Linked DNA regions of Saccharomyces cerevisiae S288C. Changing the gene in region 3 together with the main gene of any one other region gives a genetic interaction. Each region holds a gene or a part of one and is shown on either strand. Other genes may lie near its edges.

Region 1 (7,679 bases), on a different chromosome or scaffold from region 3:
GTCCGCAATAGAAAACAACAATAGCTGGCAAATAATGGAAGCCCCATTATTTTCCCTGAGGACTATGGCTAAAGAAATTTCGTTGACTGAAAACACTATATTGCCAGAAATCATTAAAATCATTTGTAACCTTCCAGAGCAGGCCAAGATTAGGTATGCATCAACATTAGTTCTTGGTAGATATACCGAATGGACAGCCAAGCATCCAGAACTACTAGAAGTTCAATTGCAATATATTTTTAACGGTTTTCAACTGCATGAGGGTTCATCGGATATGCAAAGTATAATCACTGCATCATCACATGCATTAATGTTCTTCTGTTCGGACTGCTCTAAACTATTAGTTGGGTATATTGATCAGTTGATTAATTTCTTCCTCAACGTGCAGAGTTCGATTGATATTGAGTCACAATTTGAACTATGTCAAGGATTAAGTGCAGTAATAAATAATCAGCCAGAGGCCAAAGTTTCAGTAATATTTCAAAAGCTCGTAGATGATAATTTGCGACAAATCGAGGCTTTGATTCCTCAATGGAAAGCAAATCCAACGCTCTTGGCTCCACAGATTGCTGATAAGATTGATTTGCTATATGCGCTTTTTGAAGAATTGAAACCGAGATACAATTATCCTCAGCAAGGATCGGAACCTTTACTCCCCAGGATAGAATTTATTTGGAAGGCATTAAGAACTCTGCTAGTTGATGCAGGTGCAATGACTGATAGTATTATCGTAGAAAGAGTAGCTAAATTGCTACGCAGAATTTTTGAGAGATTTCATGTATTTTGCGAGCCAATATTACCTTCTGTTGCCGAATTTCTAATCCAAGGTTATTTAACGACTGGATTCGGTTCCTATCTGTGGTGTTCTGGTTCCCTTATTGTTATATTTGGTGACGATGAATCATTCCCCATATCCCCGAGTCTGAAAGATGCTGTCTGGAAATTTGCCCTCTCCCAATGCGAGACGTTCATACTGAATTTCAACAAGTTTGATAAACTTCAATTAAACGATTATCATGAGGCAATAATCGATTTTTTCTCATTAATTTCAGACTTGATAATGTTTTATCCTGGCGCATTTTTGAATTCAACAGAGCTTCTAGGCCCCGTACTGAATGTTGCCCTCGAGTGTGTTAATAAGCTTGATAACTACGATGCTTACATATGTATCTTGCGTTGCTTAGATGATATCATATCCTGGGGGTTCAAGACTCCACCGATCTCAACAGTGTCCATCGAGATTGTTCCAGATGAATGGAGGAAGCAAGTTATTAACGAAGTCGTGATAGCCCACGGTAACCAATTGATATTAGTGTTATTCATCGGGCTGGTTACTACTTTTGAAAACACCGCTCATTCAGATGCCATCAGTTGTATTGTAAAATGTTTAAGGATATTGACAGAGGCAAACAACAACGATGCCACTATTTGCATCGATTGGATTTACAAAGTGGTGGAACAACTTGGCCAAGTAACCCTTAATGAAAGAGATAATTTGGCGAAGGCCGTGGTTGAGGGGTTGAATTCAAAGGATTACAGAAAGGTGAGGGAAGGAATTAGGGCGTTTGTTGGATGGTATTCAAGAAAGAATATCAATTCGAGGTTTGAATAGTCATTTAATAAATAGCATATTGTTAATCTGCACAGAATGTATAAAAACAAAATAAACAATTTAATAAAGATAGAACTTAAAGGTAATTGAAGTAGAAAAAATTAAGTATTAAAATATTGTAATTAAATATAGAATTGTTAAGAAGAACAAGGAGAAATAGTGACATATGATAAACATCTCTTCACACATTCTGGTGACTCAATTTTCTGAGTACATCAGGATATGCCCTAAAAATCTCATCAAACCTATGAGGGTAAGAATGATGGAAGACCTCCGGGTCATTACCAAGAGCAACAAAGAAAGTTGCAGTACCGGATCTAATGGCTTCTGTTGCAATGTTGCAAATCTGTAAAGCAATAACAAATGAGAATGCCATTAGGGCGCCGTTGTAAGCGCCGTTCGAATTGTATTGAGGCGAGGTAAACCTTAGATACAAGAACGTGAACAAAGCGGTCATATAACTAGCAAACATTGAAAATAGACCCAGTGCAATGTTAATTAAATTATCATTGATTAGGGCGTCCATTCCCTTTTCTCTTAACATATACCAGGTTTCTTTGGCCGCTCTTAAATACGGTTTACCATAAAGAGCGATGAACGAGTATGCATAATGATTGAAATACTCGGCGAGCCACTTCAGAAAGCCGATAATCCAGTCAAACACCATAAACAAAATCTGGATGGCAATTTGACCGCCACCGCTGGAGGTAACATCGTGTCTGATCATTTGCAATATTTGTCTCAACAGGTCGATCAAAGCGACTAGCAAGGACCCAAAGCAAATGGAACCGAACGAGTAAGTCATGGCTCTCTTCAATGCTCCAAATGCGGGCCACCTTGGCATTCCTTGGTCAGACTTTGACATATAATACCAGCTGCCAAAGACGCCAGAAATAACACAATGTATGACGTTTCTTATTACTTCAGAGATATAATAGCCGCAGAAAAAAACCACAACCAAAACACCAATCAATTTGGAATGCGAACAGCTGCCACCAGAAACGTCACAGCCGCCATTCGAGCTATTAGGATCGTACTTTATGTACGTAGCCACAATGACTGCTGAGAAGAGAAACCCAAACGCACTAGCAACTAGCGCTCCAACAAATGAAACAAAGAAGATCTGTGGGCATTTCTTCATGGCATCGACGACGACTTTCAATACCGCCACAGAAAGGGGAATTCTAGACCTCATACCCCAGTAGCACCACGCGGTCATGAACGTGAAGACTAAAAACACAATACCTGCAGACCAGTACCTCAAAGACATGTACATGATGGCAGTCCCAAGAGAAGCCACTAGGTTGATGACCATACCGCAATATATAAACTGCTTCGGAAAAATTCGACAAAGTGTGAGGCCCAAAACGGAGAATACTAGGGCAATAATGCACACGAAAACTAGCAGGATGGCAGCATTGGTGTTCAGCGTACCAGTATTCACACCATCGTATATTCCGGAACCCGTACTGCTATAGGTTTGGGACCACGCTCTTAAGGTTATGGCAGCAATGGCGATGAATCCGCCTACCGTGCATAGGAAAAAAATGGTAAATGGCCAATCGTTCCACCTGGGCTTGTTGTCATTTTCAGTAGGAAAGGCCTCGTCGAAGCTCCCTATAGGAGCCCCACTCGTTTTGGAATTTAGATTGTAATATTGATCCTGTCTAAAATGGTACGGCGTCTGGCCATCGTTGACATTCGCCGCGGCAGAGTTCTCGGAAGAACTGGGCGGCCTATGGTTGGGATCATATGCTGGAGGAGGTTGCGGAGGCCTCTCGTATTTTTCATTCAATGGCATGACGTATTAATGTACCGATAATTATGGTCACTATTGATGGCCCTAATCGGAAATATGCACCTTCAAGTTTTTTATAATGCGCAATTAAAAAAAGTAAGAAAGGAATATAGAAGCATTCAATTGCTATGATTACCAATAAGTAGCGATTACGACTGAACTACATTCAACGAATATCCGCATATCAATATATATATAAGGGCAAGCTACGTATAAGGATATATATGTGATGATAATGTTATATATAGCTGGCAATTACGCCATTACGCAAACAGAAAACCCCTTAAACCCCTCAAGGATCTACCGAAGGAAGAATCCTGTTAGAAGGGAACATACCAACCACAAAAAAAAAGAAAAAAAAGCATTCTGCAGTAATTAGCCGTAGTGGACTTTGTTTTTCTTTCTGCAAATGGCCGTGCGGTGTCGGGCGGGGTCTCTCACTCAGTACCATTACGTGTGATAACTCCGCTGGCGAGGTGCGCCGCTCCCTGCAGGCTCTCCGAGAGGAAATCTCTTCGCGTATGCTTATCCTTCATCAAGACGTCTTGGTAAGGACAACATTGCTCTACAGGATGTCGCCGCGTATGTCGCTCGAAGGGTAGTGAATGGCTGCATGTAGTACATAATTTGCGAAAAACAGTGGGCTTGCCAAAATCTGCCTCAGGTGACAAGCCATTTTTCCAGTGGGATGATCTACTCGTGTGTAAGACATGTCGAAACGCACGCTGTTGCATGAAAAGTAGTCGTACGGTTGTATGTGTGGTGTACGGGTGTAAAAGTAGTCAAGCGTATGGCGGTAAGCAGCGATTCAGCAATTCTATATCTGAATAAAGTGAACTTTTGTACCATCTTTAGTAGCCAGTTGATTCATTTTTTTCTGTCAGGTGCGGCCCATCATCGAAGTGGGTTGATAATCTGGGTAATTATATAAACATTTTGATCATAAAAAAGAACTAAAAAAAGGCTTCAAAGTAGTCGCGCCGCGAGATTGCCTCGACTTAGCATTAATTGTCTTTGTAATCATCGAAAAGAGTGGAAAATTCAGATTGATTAATCAACTCTTCCCAGCCTGAGTTATAATTTGCCCAAAATTCATCTGTCAGCATCTGAATGATCTCTGATTGACTCTTTGCATGGTTCTTAGTTTCACCAGGCGAGGGTAACATTGGAATTATTGAGGGCGTGGGCGTTGGAACTGCAAGGCTGAGATCCCGCTGCCTATCACTCACAATTTTAGCTTCTGATGATGGATTATCGCTCTGCGGATCTAGTTCTTGTTTGATTTGTGCTAGCCATGTTTCCTCGGTCAACTTTCTGAATTCAATAACGTTGCCAAGAATAGTCCTATAGGTCCTTTCAATAGCTAGCTCTATCACAAATTGTGATGATCTATGCATTGTGCGTATTAATTCTTTATTTCCGACCGTGAACAAGCGATCGAAGATTGACGAGTACAAGCTCATTGCTGTACCTAAAGATAGATCCTTGTCTAAAGGAACAGTCAATTTCGTCAAATCCGACCATCCAACTTCCATATCGTTGGATAGACATAGTCCATTTTCGAAAAGCGTCAACTTAAAGTAGATCAGAGAACAAAAAAACACCAATGTTTTGGAAAAAAGCCCTGCCGTGAGGCTCATTGATAACGCCATATGTGGCGGTAAGTGCGGGTTGGAGGCTTCGAATTTCTCTGGGTAAAGTGCTTTGTCGATACGATAGCATCGAATTGTGGTATTCACAATGATGGAAAAATTGATCAAAACCAATTGAAACGTATTATTTTTGGATTCTATGTTTCTGACTTTCAGCACAGAATGTATTAGTGCATAAAACGACAATAATAGTCCGACTGCCATACTTAAAATTCTACTTTCCCTTAATGGAACTTCTTCCGATATATTTTCACCTGTGTAATGTCCAAGTGGACCAAGTTCTTCTTCTACAAAATTGATAATTCGCTTGGAATAAGCTTTCAAATCCGGGAATTTATCTCTATCATAAAGAGTTAACAACATTGGCCTTGTAAGTTTTAAATATCTTTTCAGCTTCCCCTCATATGTTTTACTTTTACTATTCAATATGCAATGATCTTGGTTTTCGTCTAGATAAAATTTGTTAATCAATAAGGGTCTACCAACGTTACAAGATATGTTATAATCGATAAATATTGCCATTAACCAGACATTTTCTAAACTTTCGATGCTACCCATAAAAACCTCATGTTCCTTGAAAGTTTCTCTAATGTTTAAATGCAACCCTATTGTAGTAACCGTAGTAACTAAACATTCATTTATATTAACCAAATCGGAGCCATCTCCACCGAATGAATATGTTTCACGATGGTAGTAGAAAAGTATTAACATTTGTGCACGCTCAATGTAGAACACCTTAGCGGTGGAGGCCCCCTTTAGTAAAGTAAAGAACTTCTCAATTGGGGTTGGGACATCTGTATGGAAGTATTTCAGACATAGGATTAATAGTATCACAGCAGCTTTGTAATAATTTTTCTTTGGATTGGATAAAATATAAACTATGGATCTGTCACCTTCCGCCTTTACCTCTTTTTCGGGCATGAAATAATCTAAAAAGTCTCTTCTAACTTTTGCCTTATCAAGAATCACGTTGATCTCATTGCATGCTCCATCATTAAAGAAATCATCTAAAATAGACAAAGCTTTGTTATATGATGGTAGGAAACGACATATCTGTTTGATTAATGGATCTGGCTGCCAATCCGACTCATCCAAAAGGCCTAGTTCCCTGCACATCGTTTTTTGGTTGTTTTGCTTCCATTTATTTCTTTCTACTTTAACCTTCGCCCATAATTGTTTATATTTTTCAATGAACCCCCAATTACTATTTGCAATTTGGGTTCTCATAGAAGTGGGGCCGTATAGTGTTGATCTTCCGGAATGTTTACTTTGTAGGTAGTACCGGTCGGCATATGGATTTATTACACCATCGGGTAATGGAGATGAAGTTTCAGTAGAACCTCTACCTACACTAGTGCCTAAAGGAGGGAAATTTGGCGAAGTGTACATGGAGCTCGCAGACGAATTAGTGTTTTTTTCAGCTTCTAGAATACGTATTTTGTTTTCTAGTTCTTCAACTTTCTTAAGTAAATCGGCGTTAGGATAGGGACCATAGGTAGCTTTCTTTTCGATGTTTTTGTTGAATTCTTCAGCATATTGACAGGTTGTTAAGTTTCTAGAAATGCATGTAGAACACATAGGTTTTTGCTGATCACAACGAAGTTTTCTCCTTCTGCAAAAGCCACAAGATTTTATAAGCTTGTTTCTCTTCTTACCGCTAGTAGAAGTTGGTGTTCCTGAGTTACTTCCATTGGCTCCACCGGCCGTACTATTACTATTATCGCTTGGCGGCGTAACGTTGGTGGCCTGGAAACTTCCCAACAAAGCATCGCTTCTTCTTTTCATTGTGACGCTATTCTTATTGGCACGGCTGAGGGCAATAAACTTTCCCACTTTCTCGTTGATCTTGTTGTTCCTTTGATCTAACTTTTCTCTTGTAATTCCGAATTTTTGGCGTTTTGGTAATTCCAAGGGGAAGTTGTCTATTACATACGTCTAGTGATGTGGAATACTATAAATGTCTTGGTATTGTTATCCTTTTCCCCGTATATCAGCCTCTACCCCATTAGTAATATGGCATGGAACCTTTTAACGTTTTTCTAATTTCCGCGGATTTAACTCCGTTCACTATGATTTCTGCCAGTATGATACTGGCAGAAATCTACATTCGCTATATATAAAGAGGATATACTGGTAATAACTACAGCTTCCATGTGAGCTTAAAACGATCATGCTCATCTTTCTTCATCTTGATAGAGATTGGTAATGCTGTCATACTCCCGTGATTATAAAGCAGAATGAGAAATATTGAGACAACCGTAAAAACAGCTACTGCCCAGAATTTAAACCTTCAAACTTCATCATCAGAAAGGTATACTGTGTAAATAATGCGTAAATAGTAGGAGCATGGTGTTCTCTTGTCGTTGAAAGAACATCTGCGGCGAGCACGTGCGGCTTAATTCTCAAACGTCTCGCGGAGGTAAATAGTGTAAAGGGAAGCCTCAACTTTAAGACATGAAATCACACTGAAATAACGCCTGAAAGGTCAGGAACAGTGAGTACGTAGGAGTATAAGAGCGTGGGGAAACACAAAATGGGCAAAACCGCGGATAATCATGGTCCAGTACGTTCTGAGACAGCACGTGAAGGAAGAGAAAACCAGGTTTACTCACCCGTT
Region 2 (7,679 bases), on a different chromosome or scaffold from region 3:
CTTAGTAAGTAGAATAATGGCCTACTAAAATTTTGGATTTCGGTAATCACAACTTTATGATTGTTATCAAAAGTTCCTGGCTTGCAAACAATACCTATTTTTGTGCAATGTGCCTTCAATACAGAGGCTAATTTGTCTAGTTCCTTAGTTGGGGTGGAACCTTGTAGTTTGGTAGTAGAGGAGATTTTACGCAAGTCTTCCGGCTTTTTGTATGGCACTAAAAACTGTTCATCTATAGAATTCAGCAGTTCCAATAATTTGACGTCATCCTTTCTATCACTGCTTCCAGTAGACATTATTGTATAACTGGTATTTCTCTTATAAAGTTTATAATAGGCGTCTCTGGTGATGCTTGTTGACCTCAATGGATTTTGTTAAAAGGAGGCTTCATGTCATCGTCAAGATCATTGCAGTTTTTTTCTAGTTTTTTTTTTTTCATTGCCACATTATGAAGCGCCCATTCAAAAACAACTAGAAAAACGTTTGCCAACCCTAGGTACGGCAAGATCCTCCTTATTAATAAAAGCATCACACCAAGACAGCAAAGAAGTAAATCGATAATATGAATAGCATAATTTTGCGAAGTTAAAGTCCTAAAGAAATAATTTATAGTTAACACTACTTACATAATTTCAATACTGCTTTATATTTAAAGTAAAAAACGCATAACGGAAATACAAATACAAGTCAAAAACTATCTTGAAGTAAAGATGGCATGACTGCTATTTTGTTTCTTGTTACTTTTAAGCTCCTTTTCCACAACTGTTAATTTTCTTATTGGACGGATGGACCTGGGTTCATTCTTCTCTTACCGTTAACCAAGGTAACGTTAACGAATCTTCTGGTGTACAATAATCTTTTGTAAGCACGACCCTTAGGCTTCTTTGGCTTTTCGGTTTTTTCAACCTTTGGTGTTTGAGACTTGACTTTACCAGCACGAGCTAGAGAACCATGAACTTTAGCCTAAATAAATAATATTAATATTAAAAATTAATGACCATGTTAGTATAGTGAATTTTTGAATTATTTGGCGTATCAGCAAGGATGCTAAAAATAAACTTCACTCTGCTATTTTCTCAAAGCCTTTTTAACTCTCCGTCAAAAAATGTTGTTATTAAACTCGACATTATGTTAAGTCCACGCTGTTGCCCTCGAAAAATCTGTGTCAAGCAATTACGTTTTTGATGTAACAGAACTCAAATTTAAAAAGTTTCCTATCATATTCTCAGGGTGGAGCCAGTTTAAAGATATATTGCGTTTTATTTCTTTTTCTGCGGTATATATAGATATGAAACACCAGTAATATATTCAAATTAGCTATTTCTTGTTATTCATTCCTCGCTGAAACGTCCATTTTTTTCATATTTTAAAATCCTAATGAGGCATTACGTACCATATTTGCGTAGTTTTTGTATGGGGATATGGAAGATTATTACAGTGGCAAATTTAATGTGCAGTTCATGTAGCCTTTAAAATGCAACATACCGTTCGTAAGGCTGTTTTGTTCTATCTATTTTTTCTGAGGTTTCCGACAACCTCACGACATTTTTTTTTTTCGAACGGAAAAAAGAAAAGCAGTTAGTATGTAAAGCACGGATTTTTTTATACATATGTACGGATGTGATAGTCTGCAACTCTGCAACTCTGCAGTTCTCAGCCATGTCAGATTTAAAGAGTTTCCTTAGCAACGTAGCAAAGAAATGTACCGCTGTAGGGTTTACAAGCCCTTCGATCTTGCTATATAATATATGATTTGTCCTCTTTCCCTTGGTTTTTCCACATCTTCGCTATCTTCCAAGCTACCACGATCCAACGAACAGTGGAATACGCAGGATTCGTCGTGAGAAATCGCCAAAACAACTTCTTCAAATGCAGCGTATAACTTGGAACACACCTTCCAATCTTTGCAACGGATGATTACTTCATGTGTGGACGAACTTTCCTGTTCAGCCTTTTCCACCATAACGGATATGTCATTAAATTCAGTATCACCGCTAGTATCAGCTGTGTAAATGTTTCCCCGCGTATCTGCGATCGAGCTATCCTCAATTCTTAATAAATCTTCATCGTAGCGGATATTTTCTTCCATCTCTCGATCTCTAGTATTGGTATATAGTGAAGACATCGGTTTATCCGCTTCGATAATCGGAAGAGATCCTTCCTCCTGCCGGCCGTCTGTGTCGATGTGCTGGTTTTGGGAAGGATTGTCAGTGAGCCCTTCTTGGCGTTGTATCACAGAGTCTAAGGGTCCATTCCAGCATATTTCCAAATGCCAATCTAATTCATTCACAATTATCTTAAGTTCTACATCATCACCTTCATTTCCATGCTCCTTTTTTTTGACTCCCATTAAATGAATGTGGTTGACATTACTGTACCGTTCAACACGTCTAATAAACCCGTGGAAGGCGGAGCCAAACTCGCCCGATATTGGTGGCAGCTTGTACATCATCAGTTGAATATAGTTAATCATTGGCTCTTGTATTCGCGTATCTTGTGCTCGGAATAATAGTTTGACAGGTACTTTGAACGAATGCATGATAACCTTATTGCTTGCGAGTAGATTTCCTGTGCCTACTGTGGTTGGTAAACCATTGTGCTCATCCACTCCCCCATTCATAACTATAGCGTCATTTGGGCCGCTAGTATGTACAATTTCTTCGAATGTTATACCTAGAGCACAAATGGGGTTCGGTTTTGAGGTTGTATCTACGCCTCCTGCTGTTCCTCCTGAAAGTGTTCCGTTATTTGTATTCCATTCTGGCATTGACTGTAGTTTTATAGTCATATTAGAGGAAGATCCTTGGTTCATTACTCGATCATACCTTTTAAACACACTCAATAAAGAATCACAATTACACTCCATTGTTATTGTATTGAGCTCGCGAGCTGATATAACTGTATATAATCTGAATACATCATGAGGAATGGTACACCAAAGCTGACCAGTATCCCCTCGTAATATTGTACCGTTGTTACTGCTGTTGAGTGATGATTTTGGAGTGGATATTATTGTCAATCTTTCACTATTAAATCTTAAGATAGCCGTCTTTCGTAGCGAAGCAACTGTATTGATAGTAGTTCTTAGCAATTTATAATCATCAGGTGCTTCACAACCATTTACTATCAATTTTAATTTCATTTAACTGAATTAAGACACACCTTTTGTCTTCTTTTTTCTCTCATCATCTCCGTATGTTTATGTTGCTATTTTGATGTAAATAAAAAAGTTGAATAATAGACGAGGGCAAGTATAACTCGCCTATATTTGTAGCCGCAACCATTGAAAAAGAGCCATGAATATGGGAAACTAGTTGCACATAAAAATGCTGAAATTTAGAATTAGGCCAGTGAGACATATACGGTGTTATAAACGACACGCATATTTCTTACGATATAACCATACGACTACCCCTGCACAGAAGTTACAAGCACAGATCGAGCAAATACCTCTCGAAAATTACAGAAATTTCTCTATAGTTGCCCATGTTGACCATGGGAAGTCAACCTTAAGTGACAGACTGCTGGAAATAACGCATGTCATCGATCCCAATGCGAGAAATAAACAAGTTTTGGATAAATTGGAAGTCGAAAGAGAAAGAGGTATTACTATAAAGGCGCAAACATGTTCGATGTTTTATAAAGATAAGAGGACCGGAAAAAACTATCTTTTACATTTAATTGACACGCCAGGACATGTGGACTTCAGAGGTGAAGTTTCACGGTCATATGCGTCTTGTGGGGGAGCAATTCTTTTGGTTGATGCATCACAAGGCATACAAGCACAGACGGTTGCTAATTTTTATTTAGCCTTCAGTTTAGGATTGAAATTAATTCCAGTAATAAACAAAATTGATCTAAATTTTACAGATGTTAAACAGGTAAAGGATCAGATAGTGAATAACTTTGAGCTCCCCGAGGAAGATATAATCGGAGTAAGTGCTAAAACAGGATTAAATGTAGAGGAACTGTTACTACCGGCTATAATTGATCGTATACCACCACCAACGGGGAGGCCTGATAAACCCTTCAGAGCATTATTAGTGGATTCTTGGTACGACGCATACTTAGGAGCGGTTCTTCTAGTGAATATTGTTGATGGTTCTGTACGTAAAAATGACAAGGTTATTTGTGCTCAGACAAAAGAAAAATACGAAGTCAAAGATATTGGAATCATGTATCCTGACAGAACCTCTACAGGTACGCTAAAGACAGGACAGGTTGGCTATCTAGTGCTGGGAATGAAGGATTCTAAAGAAGCAAAAATTGGAGATACTATAATGCATTTAAGTAAAGTAAATGAAACGGAAGTACTTCCCGGATTTGAAGAACAAAAACCCATGGTATTTGTGGGTGCTTTCCCGGCTGATGGGATTGAATTCAAAGCCATGGATGATGATATGAGTAGACTTGTCCTCAACGATAGGTCAGTTACTTTGGAACGTGAGACCTCCAATGCTTTGGGTCAAGGTTGGAGATTGGGCTTTTTAGGATCTTTACATGCATCTGTTTTTCGTGAACGACTAGAAAAAGAGTATGGTTCGAAATTGATCATTACTCAACCCACAGTTCCTTATTTGGTGGAGTTTACCGATGGTAAGAAAAAGCTTATAACAAATCCGGATGAGTTTCCAGACGGAGCAACAAAGAGGGTGAACGTTGCTGCTTTCCATGAACCGTTTATAGAGGCAGTTATGACATTGCCCCAGGAATATTTAGGTAGTGTCATACGCTTATGCGATAGTAATAGAGGAGAACAAATTGATATAACATACCTAAACACCAATGGACAAGTGATGTTAAAATATTACCTTCCGCTATCGCATCTAGTTGATGACTTTTTTGGTAAATTAAAATCGGTGTCCAGAGGATTTGCCTCTTTAGATTATGAGGATGCTGGCTATAGAATTTCTGATGTTGTAAAACTGCAACTCTTGGTTAATGGAAATGCGATTGATGCCTTGTCAAGAGTACTTCATAAATCGGAAGTAGAGAGAGTGGGTAGAGAATGGGTGAAGAAGTTTAAAGAGTATGTTAAATCACAATTATATGAGGTCGTTATACAGGCCCGAGCTAATAACAAGATAATAGCTAGAGAAACAATTAAGGCAAGAAGAAAAGATGTTCTCCAAAAGCTGCATGCTTCTGATGTCTCACGAAGGAAAAAACTTTTGGCGAAACAGAAAGAGGGTAAAAAGCATATGAAAACTGTAGGTAATATTCAAATCAACCAAGAGGCATATCAGGCTTTTTTGCGCCGTTAGCATTGCATATTATTGTTATTACCATTTTAAAATTATACCAAGCTGTATATAGTTAAGTACTTTTCATTTGTAAATAAAAGAGAAAAATAGATTAATAAATATAATAATGGCATAATCATTATGCTTTAAGTATTTCCTCAAGTGTAACTACCCCTTTAAAATCTGGGTTTTCGATATTTTTCAGGACGGATTTGCTTACCTGCTGAGTGGATACTGTTGGCCTAATCAAGTCGTTCAAAAGCTGCAGCTTATTTCTCAATAGAAATTTGTTACCGCAGTAAAGTAGTTCAAGTGCAGTATGAATAAAAGACCGTGGTCCAATTGCATTTCTGTGCTCATCGAACATAAAACCGGGTCTCACAATAATAGGCCTGAAATATCTCTGCATTTTTTCTAGTTCAATCTCCGCCTCTCTTTTCGAATTAATATAGCCACTAGGAATCAATGGGAAACCTTTATCGGCGGAAATATACGTAAAAGATCTTTGATTTGCTTTTTCTTGCTCCTTTTTGCTTTTCTTTAGGATTTTTTGTTTAAATGTATCTGCCAAAATAATAGCACTTTGCTTATTCATCATTTCATAAGTAAAATAAGGACTGCTTTTTTTTAAAGGATTTGGACCTGCACCAAAAGATAGAAGGCGTGATTTTGAATCATATGTAGGGGATTTGGATAGAGTTTGCTTATAATTTTCATTTTCTAGGAGGATTCCCAAAGAATGAACTACGTTAGTAGCATTATTCAATAATTCATGGTAAGAATCAGGCTTAAAAATGTCAGCAGCGGTCCATTGGACCTCCTGCATCCATTGCTTATCATTTAATTCATTGCTATGAGGAGCTTTACCGGACCTTGACACAGAAACGACTTGGTAGCCCGAAGTCACTGCTTCTTGACAAATTCTTTTACCTAAAAATCCATTGCCTCCAAAAACTATAAGCTTTGGTATCATTTTCTACTTCAGTTCAAGCTTTAGCTGTATTTTTGTATACGATACATATTTCCCTTATTTTTTTATTTTTTCAATGTTTTCCTGTTTTTCTATTATGCAAAAGCGACAAGATGGCATTACGAGGAGACACTCAACTAAAAAAAAAAAATGAGTCAAATTGCCAGACTTTGTAGAGAAGTAAAAAGTTAATGCTAAGATGCTCTTTATGTATTAGTCTTTTAACATATTCAAGGATACGTAAATATTCTGATTATATACTAATAATTAATAATAAAAAAATTGTTTTGATCTACAAGATTTTTATTTATTTTCATGAGTAATGTACAAAAGACACATCATCACGCCTTATTTTTATCCAAATGCACATCAATTTGCTTGTAATTATCCCACGCAATACGATATATAAAACTTGGATTGAACCCACCGACGTTTGTAATGTAGATATCAATATTTTCAGGCGGAACATAATCGGTAATTTGATTAACTGTATCTAATCTTTTTCTTGGATCCATTCTAGGTAATATACGTTGGGACCCACCAAATTCGACAAACTTCTCTACGTCGAACGGATATAGAGGAGAAAGCTTATACAAACCTGCAACAGCAAATACAGGGGTTCTAAATTCTCGGGCGCATTCACAAACGGATGATACACCTGAATTTGACGAGATAGTCCCCCCATTGACAAAAACGGCTTTAGTGCCGATAATAACCTTACCCACACGGGACATTAAAGCAAAAACAGCTGAGTCTGGGACTACTAGGGTTTCTATGTTGTGCTGTGCTAATTTTTTGGCAAACTCATGTGCATTCTTGGTGTTATTAGGGAACCCCTCTGTAACTAAAACCGTAAATGTTCTATTACTACGTTCGCGAGCAGTAATCAGAAATTTTAATACGGTTTTTGAATCAGGTGTGGGAGTTAATAAAATCTCATGATCGTGAATCAAATCAATAGCAATTTGCTGAATACCTTCATCAATGTTTTTTATCTCATCTATAAGATCCTTGATACCCTGAATGGCTACTTGACGGTAATCAGTCTTGGTTTTCATACTAGAGCTCCCTGAACTATTTTTTCTATTCTGATGAGGTTGCTCCGGTTTCTGTAATAAATTAAACATAGAGGAAATCAAAGGTTCAGCAACGGATGTGGATGTGACAGTTGTGCTCATAGTGTCTTCTTCTACTTCATCCCTCAAAACAGCCAGTATTCTTCTAATTACGTTACCGCAACTGAAAGCAGTAGGATGAGCTTTTTCTAGACTATTACCTAAATCTCTGATTTGTTCAATAAGGTCATTAACATGGTTCCAACGAGCTGCAGAGATAAATCGCATTAACAGTTGTAAAGTTTCCAAGGCGATGGCGTATGAACCTTGCACTTGTCTTCTTTTTAACTTAGCAACGAAAGTGTCAATGGTAACATTCACATCAGATGTTGCCGCATTCGGATGTACTGA
Region 3 (7,477 bases):
ACCCTGTTTTAGCTGCCAACTCCACTCAATTCAGAGATCCAAAGGTGTTCTGGTATGAACCTTCTCAAAAATGGATTATGACGGCTGCCAAATCACAAGACTACAAAATTGAAATTTACTCCTCTGATGACTTGAAGTCCTGGAAGCTAGAATCTGCATTTGCCAATGAAGGTTTCTTAGGCTACCAATACGAATGTCCAGGTTTGATTGAAGTCCCAACTGAGCAAGATCCTTCCAAATCTTATTGGGTCATGTTTATTTCTATCAACCCAGGTGCACCTGCTGGCGGTTCCTTCAACCAATATTTTGTTGGATCCTTCAATGGTACTCATTTTGAAGCGTTTGACAATCAATCTAGAGTGGTAGATTTTGGTAAGGACTACTATGCCTTGCAAACTTTCTTCAACACTGACCCAACCTACGGTTCAGCATTAGGTATTGCCTGGGCTTCAAACTGGGAGTACAGTGCCTTTGTCCCAACTAACCCATGGAGATCATCCATGTCTTTGGTCCGCAAGTTTTCTTTGAACACTGAATATCAAGCTAATCCAGAGACTGAATTGATCAATTTGAAAGCCGAACCAATATTGAACATTAGTAATGCTGGTCCCTGGTCTCGTTTTGCTACTAACACAACTCTAACTAAGGCCAATTCTTACAATGTCGATTTGAGCAACTCGACTGGTACCCTAGAGTTTGAGTTGGTTTACGCTGTTAACACCACACAAACCATATCCAAATCCGTCTTTGCCGACTTATCACTTTGGTTCAAGGGTTTAGAAGATCCTGAAGAATATTTGAGAATGGGTTTTGAAGTCAGTGCTTCTTCCTTCTTTTTGGACCGTGGTAACTCTAAGGTCAAGTTTGTCAAGGAGAACCCATATTTCACAAACAGAATGTCTGTCAACAACCAACCATTCAAGTCTGAGAACGACCTAAGTTACTATAAAGTGTACGGCCTACTGGATCAAAACATCTTGGAATTGTACTTCAACGATGGAGATGTGGTTTCTACAAATACCTACTTCATGACCACCGGTAACGCTCTAGGATCTGTGAACATGACCACTGGTGTCGATAATTTGTTCTACATTGACAAGTTCCAAGTAAGGGAAGTAAAATAGAGGTTATAAAACTTATTGTCTTTTTTATTTTTTTCAAAAGCCATTCTAAAGGGCTTTAGCTAACGAGTGACGAATGTAAAACTTTATGATTTCAAAGAATACCTCCAAACCATTGAAAATGTATTTTTATTTTTATTTTCTCCCGACCCCAGTTACCTGGAATTTGTTCTTTATGTACTTTATATAAGTATAATTCTCTTAAAAATTTTTACTACTTTGCAATAGACATCATTTTTTCACGTAATAAACCCACAATCGTAATGTAGTTGCCTTACACTACTAGGATGGACCTTTTTGCCTTTATCTGTTTTGTTACTGACACAATGAAACCGGGTAAAGTATTAGTTATGTGAAAATTTAAAAGCATTAAGTAGAAGTATACCATATTGTAAAAAAAAAAAGCGTTGTCTTCTACGTAAAAGTGTTCTCAAAAAGAAGTAGTGAGGGAAATGGATACCAAGCTATCTGTAACAGGAGCTAAAAAATCTCAGGGAAAAGCTTCTGGTTTGGGAAACGAAGGAACTCCAATCGGGAATGAGGAGAGCACAAATAAAGCTAAAAATGGAAATAAAAAGCGGAATAAAAATCGAAACAGAAATAAGAAGACAGAGACAAAGGAACAAAATGAACCTAAACCTGTGACTGGAGGGGAAGAAGTGAGAGTCGAGAAATCTCAAGCGAAAAACAGAAGGCGGAAAAACAATAATGGAGCTAATAAAAAGAATACCCTACACTACTCAAAGGAAATTAATGTAGAAGAGCGAAAACAAATCGCAAAAAGGCAAGAAGAAATCGAACAATGCATTCACACCTTATCCGATTTTAAACTGTTTAAAAAGGGTAAGCACGTTACCTCATATGGCTATCGAATCTCCCCCATGACAGACTCCGGTAAGATTTCTTTGAAAATTTTATTCAACATACCTTTGGATTATCCAAAGGCCCCAATAAAACTAACGATGAAAAGTAATGAAGAAGTTTCCTCTTACATGGACACCGTGATAGCGAATTTCAACTGGAAAGCCCGTCAATTGGTTAAGGAGGACTGGAGGATATTATCTCAAATAAACTATTTGGTTAGTGAGTTAGAAATATTGAAAATGGAAAATTATAAACAAATTGATAAACTACGTAATAGCTTTTACAAAACCATATAAATATGAGCATAATAAAAAGGGAGAATATTAACTATTATCAAGTATTAAAACTATTCTTTAATAAAGATGGCGGCGGCACCCATACCAGTACCGATACACATACTAACAACCCCGATTTGATCCTTTTTCAGTTCTCTTAGTATGGTAGCTACTTGCCTTGCGCCAGTACAACCCAAGGGATGGCCTAACGCGATTGCACCACCTCTTGGATTTACTTTATTCAAATCGATGCCCAGTTTATGGATGCAGTATAATGCTTGGGCCGCGAATGCTTCATTTATTTCAAAAATATCGATATCTTGGACTTGCAAGCCAGTAGCTTCCAGGACTTTTGGTATGGCGTATGCAGGGCCCACACCCATGATTTCAGGGGGAACCCCCACTGTTTGAAAATCGATGTAGCGACCTAGCACAGGCAGATTTAACTGGTTGGCTACGGACCTGCGGGCTAACAAGACACCTGCCACACCATCGGAGACCTGGGATGCATTGCCCGCAGTTGTGGTTCCTCTGTCTTTGATAAAGGCAGGCCTGATGCTTGAAAGCGACTCCGCAGTGACGTTAGGGCGTGGCCCTTCGTCCGACTGGCAAATTGAGCCATCTGGTAATTTTATAGGTAAAATTTCATCTTCGAAAAGCCCCTCATTTTTCGCCTTGTAAGCTTTTTGATATGAATTCGCAGCGAACTCGTCTTGATCCTTTCTACTGATCTTGAAATTAGCGGCAACATTCTCATTAGTAATGCCCATTGGTATTAGACATTTCTTCGCTTCTCGGTTTTTTTGCAGCTCTTCAGAGGAGATCATGCCCAAGGGATTGACGTTTTTGTAGTTATTGGTCATTGATTCCACTCCCAGCGCCAAACCAATATCAATTTGCCCAACCTTAATCTTGTTGGCAATATCGTTCACCGCCGTTAAACCTGAAGAACATTGTCTGTTTAAAGCGACAAATGGCGTCGAGTAGGGAATCCCACTTGCCAAGCATGCAGCCCTGTGTTCTGTAGCACCGGCTCCAACATTGAGAACATTTCCACAGGCAACTTCTTCGATTAAGTTCAAATCAGCCCTCAAAGGTTCCGGAAACCTCCCGATGAACTCATTGAGAAAGTTGTATAATAAGTAGTCTGTGTTTACATCTTTGAAGGCACCTTTAAAACCTTTACCGATGGCAGACCTGTTAGCAGCCACAATAACTACATCTTCGGGTCTTTTCTCCAGCAACGAGTTCTTCCTCTTCGATTCACCCTTACCCATGGCGCTCTCCACCAAATGATCCTTGATACTTTGTAGTCTTTGAGACATTGCTTTTATGTAGTGTTATATTCACTCTGTACTCAGAGCCACAAGAAATAACCATTCGATTTCAATAGAACTGAGATGCAAAAGTATACCCTATTTATATCTCTTCTTTCTAGTAAAACTCCAATAAATTTGAAACCAATAGAGGGAGAAAGGAAAAAAAAGCTGCGGTGTTAATACTATTATCCCCGTTTCCCTTTGATAGCGCCTTACACGGCGCTACCACATCATTACCCTCCTCATGTTGACGCGTCAAGTTTTTTTTCTTTTTTCGCTATTTGTGGCATAGGTTCAAAACTAGCAAATTCTTGATCTTTTGAAGATTACATAGTGATGATGATCGTGACACAAAAGCAGATAAAAAAATAGCACAATCATCAGCGATGGACTCTTCCCCGAACAAGAAGACGTACCGCTACCCTCGCAGATCGCTGTCACTTCACGCGCGTGATAGGGTCAGCGAAGCCCGTAAATTGGAAGAATTGAATTTGAACGATGGGCTGGTTGCCGCTGGCTTGCAGTTGGTCGGTGTAGCGTTAGAGAAACAAGGTACAGGATCACATATATACATGAAACAGAAGAATTTCTCAGCTAATGACGTTTCTTCGTCACCAATGGTTTCCGAAGAAGTGAACGGATCGGAAATGGATTTTAATCCGAAGTGCATGCCTCAGGACGCATCACTCGTCGAAAGAATGTTTGATGAGCTTTTAAAAGATGGAACTTTTTTTTGGGGGGCTGCTTATAAGAATTTACAAAACATCTCTCTACGAAGGAAATGGTTATTGATATGTAAAATCCGTAGTTCCAATCATTGGGGGAAAAAGAAAGTGACTTCGAGCACGACATACTCTACACATTTGGCCACTAATGAACTAGCTGAAAACGCACACTTTTTGGATGGCCTAGTTAGAAACCTTTCAACAGGTGGCATGAAGTTATCGAAGGCTCTATATAAACTAGAAAAATTCCTGCGAAAGCAAAGCTTTTTGCAACTTTTTCTCAAGGATGAAATTTACTTGACGACATTGATCGAAAAGACTTTGCCACTCATATCCAAGGAATTACAATTTGTTTATCTTCGGTGCTTTAAAATACTGATGAACAACCCACTGGCGAGAATAAGAGCACTACATTCTGAGCCTTTAATTCGCTGGTTCACCGAGCTTCTGACGGATCAAAATTCTAATTTGAAATGTCAGTTACTTTCTATGGAGTTACTTTTATTATTAACGTATGTTGAGGGTTCCACGGGTTGTGAGTTGATATGGGACCAGCTTTCCATATTATTCACCGATTGGCTAGAATGGTTTGACAAAATCCTTGCGGATGATATTGCAATTCATTCATCCCTTTATTTGAACTGGAACCAATTAAAAATAGACTATTCGACAACTTTCCTACTGCTAATAAACTCCATACTGCAAGGTTTCAACAACAAGACTGCACTAGAAATTTTGAATTTTTTGAAAAAGAATAATATACATAACACTATCACATTTTTAGAACTGGCCTATAAAGATGATCCTAATAGTGTCGTGATCATGGAACAAATAAAACAATTCAAATCCAAAGAATCTGCGATATTTGACTCGATGATAAAAACTACCAACGATACGAATTCGCTTCACCCAACAAAAGATATCGCAAGAATAGAAAGCGAGCCTCTATGTCTTGAAAATTGCCTGTTATTGAAGGCAAAAGATAGTCCCGTAGAGGCACCAATAAACGAGATTATTCAATCGCTGTGGAAAATCTTAGACTCTCAAAAACCATACTCAGAATCTATTAAACTATTAAAATTGATAAATTCTTTGCTGTTTTATCTCATAGATTCCTTTCAAGTGTCAACGAATCCTTCTTTTGATGAAACCTTGGAGTCCGCAGAAAATGTGGATTATGTTTTTCAAGATTCTGTTAATAAATTGTTGGATTCTCTACAATCTGATGAAATTGCTAGAAGAGCGGTCACAGAAATTGATGATCTTAATGCTAAGATTTCTCATTTGAATGAAAAATTAAATTTAGTAGAAAATCATGATAAAGATCATTTAATAGCAAAACTAGATGAAAGTGAATCTTTGATATCTCTGAAAACCAAGGAAATTGAAAATCTGAAACTGCAGTTGAAGGCAACCAAGAAAAGACTAGACCAAATTACCACGCATCAAAGGTTATATGACCAGCCACCTTCATTGGCAAGTAGCAACTTGAGTATTGCCGGCTCGATAATAAAAAATAATAGTCATGGAAATATCATTTTCCAAAATTTAGCAAAAAAGCAACAGCAGCAGCAAAAAATTTCTCTGCCCAAGCGTTCAACTAGTCTACTAAAAAGTAAAAGAGTTACGTCCCTTTCATCATATTTAACTGATGCAAATAACGAAAATGAGTCCCAAAATGAATCCGAAGATAAATCAAAAGACTCATTATTTCAAAGATCTACGTCAACCATTAATTTTAATATCCCTTCTATGAAAAATATTACTAATATGCAAAATGTCTCTCTAAATTCGATACTTTCAGAGTTGGAATTTTCAAATAGCCTAGGAACACAACCTAATTACCAATCGTCTCCCGTGTTGTCTTCGGTTTCTTCTTCACCAAAACTTTTCCCTCGACTTTCCTCAGATAGTCTTGATAATGGAATCCAACTAGTACCTGAAGTTGTTAAACTACCTCAACTTCCACCGCCCCCTCCTCCACCTCCCCCTCCTCCACTTCCACAGTCTCTTTTGACTGAAGCAGAAGCTAAACCGGATGGTGTTTCCTGTATTGCAGCACCTGCACCGCCACCCCTTCCAGATCTATTTAAAACTAAAACTTGTGGCGCCGTTCCACCACCACCACCGCCACCGCCTTTACCCGAGTCCTTGTCGATGAACAAAGGCCCCTCCAATCACGATTTAGTTACTCCTCCAGCTCCACCTTTACCAAATGGTCTTCTTTCTTCCTCCTCAGTGTCTATCAATCCAACGACAACCGATTTAAAACCACCTCCAACTGAAAAGCGATTGAAGCAAATCCACTGGGATAAGGTGGAGGATATCAAAGACACACTTTGGGAAGACACGTTTCAACGCCAAGAAACAATCAAAGAATTACAAACTGATGGTATATTCTCTCAGATTGAAGATATTTTTAAGATGAAAAGTCCGACTAAGATTGCAAATAAAAGGAACGCAGAATCCTCAATTGCCTTGTCTTCAAACAATGGCAAGTCTTCCAATGAGCTGAAGAAAATTTCATTCTTATCAAGAGATTTGGCTCAGCAATTTGGTATTAATTTACACATGTTTTCCCAATTATCTGATATGGAATTTGTTATGAAAGTATTGAACTGTGATAACGACATTGTCCAAAATGTTAACATACTGAAATTTTTTTGTAAAGAAGAGTTAGTAAATATACCAAAAAGTATGCTTAATAAGTACGAGCCATATTCACAGGGTAAGGATGGTAAAGCAGTAAGTGACTTACAAAGAGCTGACAGAATATTTTTGGAGTTGTGTATCAATTTAAGATTTTATTGGAATGCAAGATCAAAGAGTCTGCTGACATTGTCAACATACGAGAGAGATTATTACGATTTGATTTTCAAGTTACAAAAAATTGATGATGCAATTTCACACTTAAATCGTTCACCTAAATTTAAAAGTTTGATGTTTATTATCACGGAAATAGGCAATCATATGAATAAAAGAATTGTTAAGGGTATCAAATTGAAGTCATTGACTAAACTTGCCTTTGTCAGATCCAGTATTGATCAAAATGTATCATTTTTGCATTTTATTGAAAAAGTCATAAGAATAAAATATCCTGATATATACGGTTTTGTGGATGATTTGAAGAACATTGAAGATTTAGGTAAAATCTCACTAGAACACGTTGAATC

Evidence for each region.
Region 1: mutations in POT1 (region 3) and PNS1 together harm fitness more than expected from each alone (negative genetic interaction), as found in Saccharomyces cerevisiae (2 studies listed by BioGRID).
Region 2: mutations in POT1 (region 3) and MEC3 together harm fitness more than expected from each alone (negative genetic interaction), as found in Saccharomyces cerevisiae (2 studies listed by BioGRID).

The regions. Positions count from the first base shown.
Region 1 is NC_001147.6:635,146-642,824, forward strand, and holds PNS1 (Pns1p), read right to left. Parts: upstream 3,414-7,679; coding exon 1,794-3,413; downstream 1-1,793. Other genes in the region: mRNA transport regulator MTR10, read left to right, coding at 1-1,612; YOR161C-C (uncharacterized protein), read right to left, coding at 3,976-4,122; YRR1 (Yrr1p), read right to left, coding at 4,415-6,847; polyphosphatase DDP1, read left to right, coding at 7,596-7,679. UniProt on the Saccharomyces cerevisiae protein: Probably involved in transport through the plasma membrane.
Region 2 is NC_001144.5:711,763-719,441, forward strand, and holds MEC3 (Mec3p), read right to left. Parts: upstream 3,143-7,679; coding exon 1,718-3,142; downstream 1-1,717. Other genes in the region: YLR287C (uncharacterized protein), read right to left, coding at 1-296; 40S ribosomal protein eS30 RPS30A, read right to left, coding at 775-963, 1,394-1,396; GTPase GUF1, read left to right, coding at 3,327-5,264; ubiquinone biosynthesis protein COQ11, read right to left, coding at 5,383-6,216; GCD7 (translation initiation factor eIF2B subunit beta), read right to left, coding at 6,555-7,679. UniProt on the Saccharomyces cerevisiae protein: Component of the checkpoint clamp complex involved in the surveillance mechanism that allows the DNA repair pathways to act to restore the integrity of the DNA prior to DNA synthesis or separation of the replicated chromosomes.
Region 3 is NC_001141.2:37,860-45,336, forward strand, and holds POT1 (acetyl-CoA C-acyltransferase), read right to left. Parts: upstream 3,586-7,477; coding exon 2,332-3,585; downstream 1-2,331. Other genes in the region: beta-fructofuranosidase SUC2, read left to right, coding at 1-1,124; SMU2 (Smu2p), read left to right, coding at 1,574-2,281; formin BNR1, read left to right, coding at 3,966-7,477. UniProt on the Saccharomyces cerevisiae protein: Responsible for the thiolytic cleavage of straight chain 3-keto fatty acyl-CoAs (3-oxoacyl-CoAs).